2 linked regions of the Bombyx mori genome follow. The protein of the gene in region 2 purifies or fractionates together with the protein of the main gene of each other region. This does not show direct contact. Links are inferred from orthologs where the notes say so. Each region holds a gene or a part of one and is shown on either strand. Other genes may lie near its edges.

Region 1 (4,517 bases), on a different chromosome or scaffold from region 2:
TGAGGGTTAAACCAAACCAGTACGCCGTGCCGGGACCCTGGGGAACATACAGGACCGCGTTACACAGGGAGGGACAGCGTGACCTCAGGGGACCCTCATACTGATCAATCCACGTCATCTGTTGATGACGTTATTATCTATACTTTGCTGCCATCTAATAGGAAAGTCATTTATTTGCGATAGAACTCTGGTGATCTAGATTCTACAAACTGCGAAGTTTTTCTTTACCATGTACAAAATTGTCCAAATCACGAAAAAAATGGTAGTCCGTTGGAGCAAGGTCTGGCGAATACGGAGGATGACAAATGATTCCTAATTGCAGTTCCTGTAGAGTTAAAACGGTTTCTCGTGCTGTATGAGGTCTCGCGTTATCATGGAGCAATAATGGTGAAGATCGATTCATGAATCGAGTCAACTACTAAAAATCGATAATCGAATGTTGCACATTTTTCAAAAGAAGAACCCTATAGGTACCATTTGAAAAAAGTTTCACTCAAAAGTTCTATGTCAATTTGGAGTGCCTATTACAATAGAACGGCAATTTCATACTTTAACCCCTATAGCTTTATAATAAGATCACTGACCCGGCTGGTGACCACGTTGCCGTCCACCACCACCCTCTCCCCCTCCACGTACGTGTAGTCGCCGGCCGACAGCTTGTCCCTGGTGCTGGGGTATGACGTCACGCGCCGGCCCCTCGCCACGCCGTGGGCTGCAAACGCTATGGGAGCTGCCAATGTAACATTTAATTACATATTATGTCTGTGACATTATATATGTTGCGATATTTCCTTAGATAGTTTTTAATATTTTATTTACGTAGTTGCTTATTGAAAGAGAATTCTCTTATGTCTATAAACAAATGTTTCTATTGGCTTATTCAATCAACTGTACTTATTGTTGACTTTACCGGGACAAAATATTAATAAGTCAACATGTAGTTTAGAAATTTAAAATTAGTATATCCATTGGGAACGGGTGAGGAGTGGCGAGGAGGTGTCGGTTGTGATGATGATGATGATGATGACATCCATTGGTAACATTAGTATTCCAAACTCAATTGGAAGCAAACTTAAAAAAAATTTTTAGTAATTCATTTACCAGCACAAATGGCAGCAATGATTTTCCCATTATCCTCGTGGTCTTTAAGCAGAGCACCAACCTTCTCGGATTTGGAGAGACTGTCTGATCCTTCTAAGCCTCCTGGTAGAATCACCTGTTTGGAGAAAATTATTTATTTTTATAGGTGACACCTGCAGTGCTATATAACGCCTGTCAAAGTAACATTCATTGTAGTTGATGATGCCAAGTATTTTCTTCAACTTCAACTGAAACGGTGGTGCAAGACAGGGAATCTAATTTGTGGCTAGGTGATGGTCGTGACTCGTGCCCCGGTTATTATGGGTTGTCACTAGCTAATCTTATTTTGGATCATGCCTATGCTACGTCTAAATGTTTAATAAACCTAATAGAACAGAATCATTAGCCATTAAAATCACAACTGGGGTGCATAATTCTAGGTTCTAAGGTTCTCAGGTTCTAAATTATGTTAACATAGAAATTGGGTGTACTATTGTAATTTTTTTCTAGAAATGATGTAGTTTCTGCAGTTGCAAATGAACTTTGCTGTATAAGATAACGGTAAGGATACTCACAGCATCATACTGTTGTTTCTCAGCGAGGGCTTCAGTCAGTGACTTATCAGGTACTAGAGTCACTTGCCTTGAGCACAGCACAGGAGATGAACCTTCCAAGCCAGCTAGAGTAACTGTTACCTATGGGGAAATAAGGTCTTTTCAATAAGAAAAAAGCTTAATAATAAATTACTCATTGGTTAGAATACCACTATGATATTCCTTCTCATGGGTATAGAATGTAACCTTTGTTTTGTTTACTATGGAATCTGCAATGAGCATGAGCTGTGTGCAGGTGTGCTGTGAGACCTGGGAGTTCGTCCTCCAATAAAGGCAGCTTCTCTTTTGTAAATCATTTAGATACAATGTCCTTTTGTTTTAGCAATATAGTATCTTTTATTGTTCATAGCCAATTCATTTTCACTTCCTTTCCTGATACAATTTCTTTGAAATTCTATGGATTTCGTCCTTTAAGATAATGATAAAAAGGTAAAAATATTCTTTATGAGTATGGATGCTCTCCGAGTATTATAATATTTTAAAGATTCATGATTTCAATCCTACCCTTAGTGTTCAAACCAATACCATAGTATAACTCTTATACACATAACATCATTATGATAACATAATATGAAAAAACTATTTCAATGATGTTGCAGTTGGGAGTGGACAACAATTACGCAACTGATGCACATTCGAGTAGAACAGCAATTGATCAGTATATAGTAAGTAGTAACTTTTTATTGTTTAATTAAGATTTACAATTAAGCAGTGATCTAGTATTCAACTATTTGATAATTTATGGTCGATTTTCATTATGCAATTTTAGAATACACTAAATTTTCTATAGTAATAGGAGACTAGGGCTATAAGTTTTATATTATATTGCTAATACTATCAATCAGTGATCAGCTGAGGTGTTGGTCTATTTGTCATTTAGATTTTAGACTTTGTCATTGACAGCTGTGGTAGCATCATGATTACCCGGCGACCATTGTAACTGAATAGTTGATAAAAGGGTGTTAGTTTTTATTGACGAGCGAGAGTCAGCTATCTGGAATCACATTATCAGATCGTCAAGACCACATGACGGGCGAAATATGTCGATTAGCAAAAGTCTAATTACAATCCAACTAAGGAAATTCAGTCAACGGATTTAATGAATTAATTGACTACAAACCCCTCCTCGTCTCAGCATATCAACAGTTATAACTGTCTCCATCTCCTCTGCACCCTGCGCCAAAATCACTAACGCAGACTTGCTCATTGTTCTAAAATGAAAATAAACTAATATAAAACAGAAAAGCATGTAGTGTGCAAACAACAAATTACATAGTTTTTATTTCTGTATTATGTAATCAGTAGGTATTACGATAAAAGTATAATTAAAGTTTTCTTAAAGGTAATTAAATGCCGGTTCAATTTGTTGTATCCTCTATTTTGGTAGGTATTTTCACTTGATTCACGGCTAGATTATAATGTGAATGTAGTTAACGCCACTTATGCAATTAAATTCCGCTAAAACAGTTCGGTACCTTGATTTAAAAGCTCTATAATTTGCAAGAGTTTTTAAAAATAAATTAGAACGAGTAGACAATGACAACAGCAACATGAGAACCATAGATAATACACTTGATATTTATTAAATAAACATATTTGTACATAACTACTAAATTAAATATTAATTATGAACGAGTTGACAATTTCTGATTAAATTTAAGTACGGTACCTACTAGTATACATAGATAATAGACTGTGTATAAGAGAGTAAATTACCTACTTTGCCTTTGAAATTGTGTAGGTATTGTCAATTAATTGTCGTTACTATTATCATCTAAGGCCTAAGGTTATTTGTGTATGGTGTAAACAAATTATCTATGCTCGAAACATTGTAAAAAATTACCTATATCGTCAAGTGTATAACAGTCTACACTATGAAGGGTTCCGTAACGAAATGAACTTAGCTTGATAAAACACCCACAAATATTTTAGCATCCATCAATTAGCATCCATCAACATATTGTGGTCTCTTAGACCTACATATTGTCAAATCATTTTCCATTGCAAATTTTATTTAGGTTCATAAATTGTTTTTATGATTTATTTATGTCCTTAATAGGAGCACTAGAATTTGGAGGTACCTACACTTTTTTAACCTTACAAGCGCACAAAACAGCGGTAGCCGTCACAGAATATAAATTTGACACGATGTCTGAAACCGAAAAACGACATGATGCATCAACAACGTTGCGAGTCTTAGAAAAAACTATCACGACAACCTAAACAATATATTATTATATCTATATTATATTATATATACCTGTAGGGACACAGTTTGTTATGTAAACAAAATTGTTCGTAGTCATAACATGCGGCTGCACTCGCAAGCTCCGTTGTTTTTTACTTTTTAAGTTACCGTCGTCTATGTACATTAGCATTCCCAGGGGCAGAGCTAAAACGCTGCCTACCGCTAAGTACTGTATAAAAGCCTCGTTTTATGGATATGTGCTTTCGGGAAGCACCATAGGTAAGTGGCAAAAAATATCTATGGAAATGCACTGTGGATGAACGCATTGATTCTAGGTGGTGTTATAAAATAGAGAACAAAACTACCTGCTCACTAATTTTCACACATCGCAACTGTTCAGATACCGTGTTTTTTGTTAACTTCAAAACACAAAATTTAAACTATTTCAAACAAAAACTATACATACATAATCACTAATTATGTACCCTTTCCTGGCTGAGCCTTTGCTCGCTCACCTGTCCTGGTGAAACTGGAAGGGCCTCCGGACCACCAGTAATCCTTCAATCATAAAAAAGAAAACTAAGTACATGATATTATGAGTTATAGCCATAGACAATACACTTAATATTTAATAT
Region 2 (4,531 bases):
GGACATCCATCATGAAGGAATAGCAATGTGGAAAAAGCCAAACCAGACACATTCGGTACATACTTCGCGTAATTACCTTCTCTTGACATTGCCGGTCCCAAGCCCGGATGAGAAAAGAGGAGGGTTGAGTAGAACTGGACATTCCTACCGTAAAACGTCAACGCCGAACACTGGGCGGCGGGAAATAACCCAGCCCCCGGATCCAACTAGAGACCCGGAGCGGGACCAGTTGCCGTGAAGGACTAAATCCCTTCGAAATACTGATGGGGAAGGACGTGGGAACCACAATTACATCCCAAGAGAGTCATAGACATAAAGAGCTAAGCAGTAGCTAACTACCGCCTCGATGTCAATAGTTATTGTAGAGCCGTTATTACAATGTACCTAATTATACTTTTTCGATAAGATGTGGCTACTCAAGGTTTTTTTTTTGTTTTTTGCCAGGGGTAGAGCCAAGCCGCTGCCTACCGTAGAAGATTAGCTTGTTAAGAAAATCAGCTTGTCGGCTCATCTATAACTAAAAAATGTCTTGTCTGCCGAAAAACTATCATACGCTCCAGATTGAATGGTGAATATAGACTCCGACCTCATTTTAACTAAGACTGGCTTCACTGCCAACTCAATAACTATTTATCTACATAGTTAAACTTTTACGTGCCACCTGCCGTGGGATCGATATAGCAGTTGCACTAGTTCACACACCTACTTTTTATGTTATACTATTTGTAATACCGCAATCGCGATTACTCTGTTGCGGGCAAAAATTCAACACAAAAAAAAATGTGATGATGACACACACTGCTATTGTTTTGTCACATATACACACTGGTCATGGCACGGTCGCCGCTGCCCTGTAGACGACCTCATAACTTCTTATAACGTCTGATAACAGCTCCCACGTTCATAATAAGCTTTTGGACATTTTTTCATTAAATATGGCTCTTGTAATTTTAAAATCACTAATTACAAATAATACATATTATTAATATGTATGTTGTATACTCAGTTTTTATTATATATTCAGATGAGTGAGTAAACTGCCTTGTGTTTTGTGTTTACTGCACTACAAAGATCTACTCAACTGTATTGTATAATAGCAGTCCTACCTAACTATCTTTTTTTTTATTGCTTAGATGGGTGGACGAGCTCACAGCCCACCTGGTGTTAAGTGTTTACTGGAGCCCATAGACATCCACAACGTAAATGCGCCACCCACCTTGAGATATAAGTTCTAAGGTCTCAAGTATAGTTAGTTATATCTACCTATAGAGGGACAGGAATGGTACCTACCCATGTCCGCTTACACCATACCACCACCATTTATGCATTTCAGTAATCCGCACATTCAAAAAACATTGATTCGATGTAATATCAATAGACAAAATACTCTCTTAAAATTTATTGGTAACAAGGTCTTATACTGTTGTGACTGTGAGAAGGTCACAACGGAACGATTACTAACAGAACCTTTTTTATTTATTGTCGTAAATAAGTTAATTCAAGGTATTGTTCTTTATTTACGTTAATCATTTAAATAGTAGGTCATGTCATTAATATTTGATCATTGTATATTTTATCAGAAACAAGTAGGTAGGTTTCAGGTAAATTAGAAGCACAATATTGTAATCATTACCCACGACTTAAAAACTGTTTGGTATTTATTATATTATAGAACTATGAATATAAAATAGGTAATAATTAATTATAAAATAAATTTATAAACCATAAAATAAGTTTTACTTAATGCAAAGATCCCCCCGAAAATCAAAGAAAATACTAAATTAAATTCCACTCAGTAATATGTTAGATATATTTGATTGCGATACTGTGTAGGTAGCAGAAAAACTATTTTCAGGTTGTTTTCACTTTTGATAAAAATAAATTAACAAAATCAAAATAAAAAATTCAGATAAGTAAATGAAAATAATTTGAAGCAATTATTATTCGAGTAAAAACATTTTACTATTAAGCAAGCTTGCATTCAATTTAGAGGGTATAACAAATATTACAATGTAACCGTGAATCCAATGTCAGTCCTCAAGACACGTGGCAGTATTAAAATGGTGGTTACTGGATCTATAGATATATGCTTAAATACATTTCGCATTATAAATATTTTGGTACCTCAATGTTAATATATCTCATTGAAAAATTTAAACAAGAGAATGACGTAAATAATATATTTGTATGAAGGAATTACCTTTCCTTTAGTGTTGTGCTGAGCTCCCCAAGCCGCCATCACATACGGGTCATTAACAGACACGCACACTATTTCAGCAACTCCATCCGATTTCAGTTTATCTGCGTTCTGTACGTATCCCGGCAAGTGTGTTTTAGAACATCCCGGGGTGAAGGCGCCCGGCACCGCAAATAATACAACCTTCTTTCCCGCCGTCAACTCACAAATATTCACCTTATTAGCGGGAGAATCTTCGAATAAATCAGCAGCAGGCAGCTGATCCCCGACCTTGAAGTAAAACACTTGAAAAAAACCTGTTATGTAATTCCAAAAAGTCTTTTTTCTTAAATAATTTACCTTAATTGGTGCCATGCTTAATTGTGAAATGTGAAGTGCTCGCGCTGACGCTCGATTGGTGAATGCGGTAATGCCACGGATAATCGAAGACCCTGTGAGAAACATTAGAAGGTAGAAGTTTTTACTATGGTAGTTACCTTACTTATTATTTATTTTGTTATATCGATCGTAAGTTAACAGATGATAAAAGTTCATGACCTTCACAACTTTGATAACTTTTATGTCAAGCTGTCAAATGTCATTCGGCCGTCATGACGACGCTTTGCATTATGAAACAGAACAAGGGTACATACACTATAAAAATTCAGTGGTTAATATTAATAAATACCTAGATGCTCTAATGTGCTTTCGTTCCTGGCTTAAGCCAAAAGGTAAGGTCTAAAGTTTACTAAGCCCGAAAGAATAGAGTAATGAATATTTTTTTTATAAAGGGTCTCAGTAATGGAGCGCGCATAATTATATAGTACGTATTTCTATTATTTTCTCAATTCGTTTAAAAAAAGCCTTTTACATTATATTTTGTTTTGTCATCTTCCCTGTATTTTTCGAATATCTCCAAATAGGTTGAAGTCTTTCTACGTAAATGTGGAATTGACCTTTTAGTCGCCACAAACTCTTAAAAAACCAACCATTTTTGCTGCCAAATAGTTAGAAAATTAAAACTTTTAACAATGACTCCACGGTGCTGTACCAATACATTTCATCGATACTCTTTGGGCTTAAATGAATCATATATCCACTGTTATTATACCAGCTACTGATTTAAATCTACATCATAGATTATCAGAAATTAATTAATATTTCACAGTAATTATTAATAATAATCACTATAAGTAAATAATAATAACTTCTTTCGGATATATATTATAACTCAATTAAGAAAAAAATTAATAATATTAATAGTGGTTTAATAGCATAACAAAATAACTAAATTGTATGTTTCAAGAACAAACTTGATATGATTCTTTATACTTAACCTCGGTAGACAGCGGCTTGGCTCTGCCCCTGGCATTGCTGAAGTCCATGGGTGACGGTAACCACTCACCATCAGGTGGGCCGTATGCTCGTCTGTCTACAAGGGCAATAAAAAAAACGTTTTTTAATTATTTAAATTTTCTAGGATTTGGTCATTATCAAATCATTTCATTAATCAAGCGGTATTTTACGCGGTAAGACAAACTACTCGTTTGATTTCTACATCTTTCTCTACGTGTCTTTCTGTCGTTATTTATCATATAATGATTGTAAAAAATAAGTTTTTAATCAATCTTCTTAAAATAGGGATACGGTCTACTGCTCAAGTTTTGTCCCCTGAATATGTTTGAACCTGTAAAGTATTGTCAGATGATTACATCCCAAGAATTAAATTACACTAACGTTAAGATCTATTTTTTGTAGGAAGAAAATCTCAATGCTACTTGTTTGGGTTGAGCAGACTTAATAGGTAGGTAAATTAAAATATTACAACTTCGTTTTCCAGTCAACTTGAATCAAGTCAATGCGGTTTCGAGCTCAGCCCTGCTGACTGACTCGAATCTGTCATCTGTCATTTGCAATTTGTGGTTCGTTGTCGTTTCGTTTTGAGTTTCTTTTTGTAATCAAATTTGATTCGAAACAATACTTTCTTAAGTAGATATGAAAAGTAACATTTTATGCACCAGAAAAGTGTGGGGTTGAGATTAGTATAAGAATTTAAATCTCCACGATGGATGCTCCTTCAATGGACACTGTTTACCAGGCGATCAGCGCTCTGTACGATGGCCCAAATGGAAATGAAATTGAGAAGGCTTCGCTATGGCTCGCCGATGTACAGAAATCCGTAAGTATTAAATTGTGTACTTATTTTTATTCAACTTGGGATTAGTGATTTGATTGAGTTCATTATATTAATATAACATGAAAATGTACATAACCTAAAATTCCTCACAGATCCACTCATGGAAGATTGCCGACGAGTTGTTGCAGCAAAAAAAGGACTTCAATTCCTGTTATTTC

The links.
Region 1: the proteins of peroxiredoxin (region 2) and BmDJ-1beta fractionate together in Homo sapiens (co-fractionation; 3 studies listed by BioGRID). This does not show direct contact. The link is inferred for Bombyx mori from reciprocal best matches to the Homo sapiens genes PRDX5 and PARK7.

What each region holds. Positions count from the first base shown.
Region 1 is NC_085129.1:16,172,113-16,176,629, reverse strand, and holds the start of BmDJ-1beta (DJ-1 beta), read right to left. Parts: upstream 2,908-4,517; 5' UTR 2,906-2,907; coding exon of another isoform or gene 2,902-2,905; coding exon 2,815-2,901; intron 1,776-2,814; coding exon 1,656-1,775; intron 1,217-1,655; coding exon 1,102-1,216; intron 731-1,101; coding exon 585-730; intron 38-584; coding exon 1-37. UniProt on the Homo sapiens protein: Multifunctional protein with controversial molecular function which plays an important role in cell protection against oxidative stress and cell death acting as oxidative stress sensor and redox-sensitive chaperone and protease.
Region 2 is NC_085118.1:970,083-974,613, reverse strand, and holds the start of peroxiredoxin, read right to left. Parts: upstream 3,041-4,531; 5' UTR 2,938-3,040; intron 2,710-2,937; 5' UTR 2,642-2,709; coding exon 2,537-2,641; intron 2,468-2,536; coding exon 2,201-2,467; intron 1-2,200. Other genes in the region: transportin-3, read left to right, coding at 4,242-4,355, 4,466-4,531. UniProt on the Homo sapiens protein: Thiol-specific peroxidase that catalyzes the reduction of hydrogen peroxide and organic hydroperoxides to water and alcohols, respectively.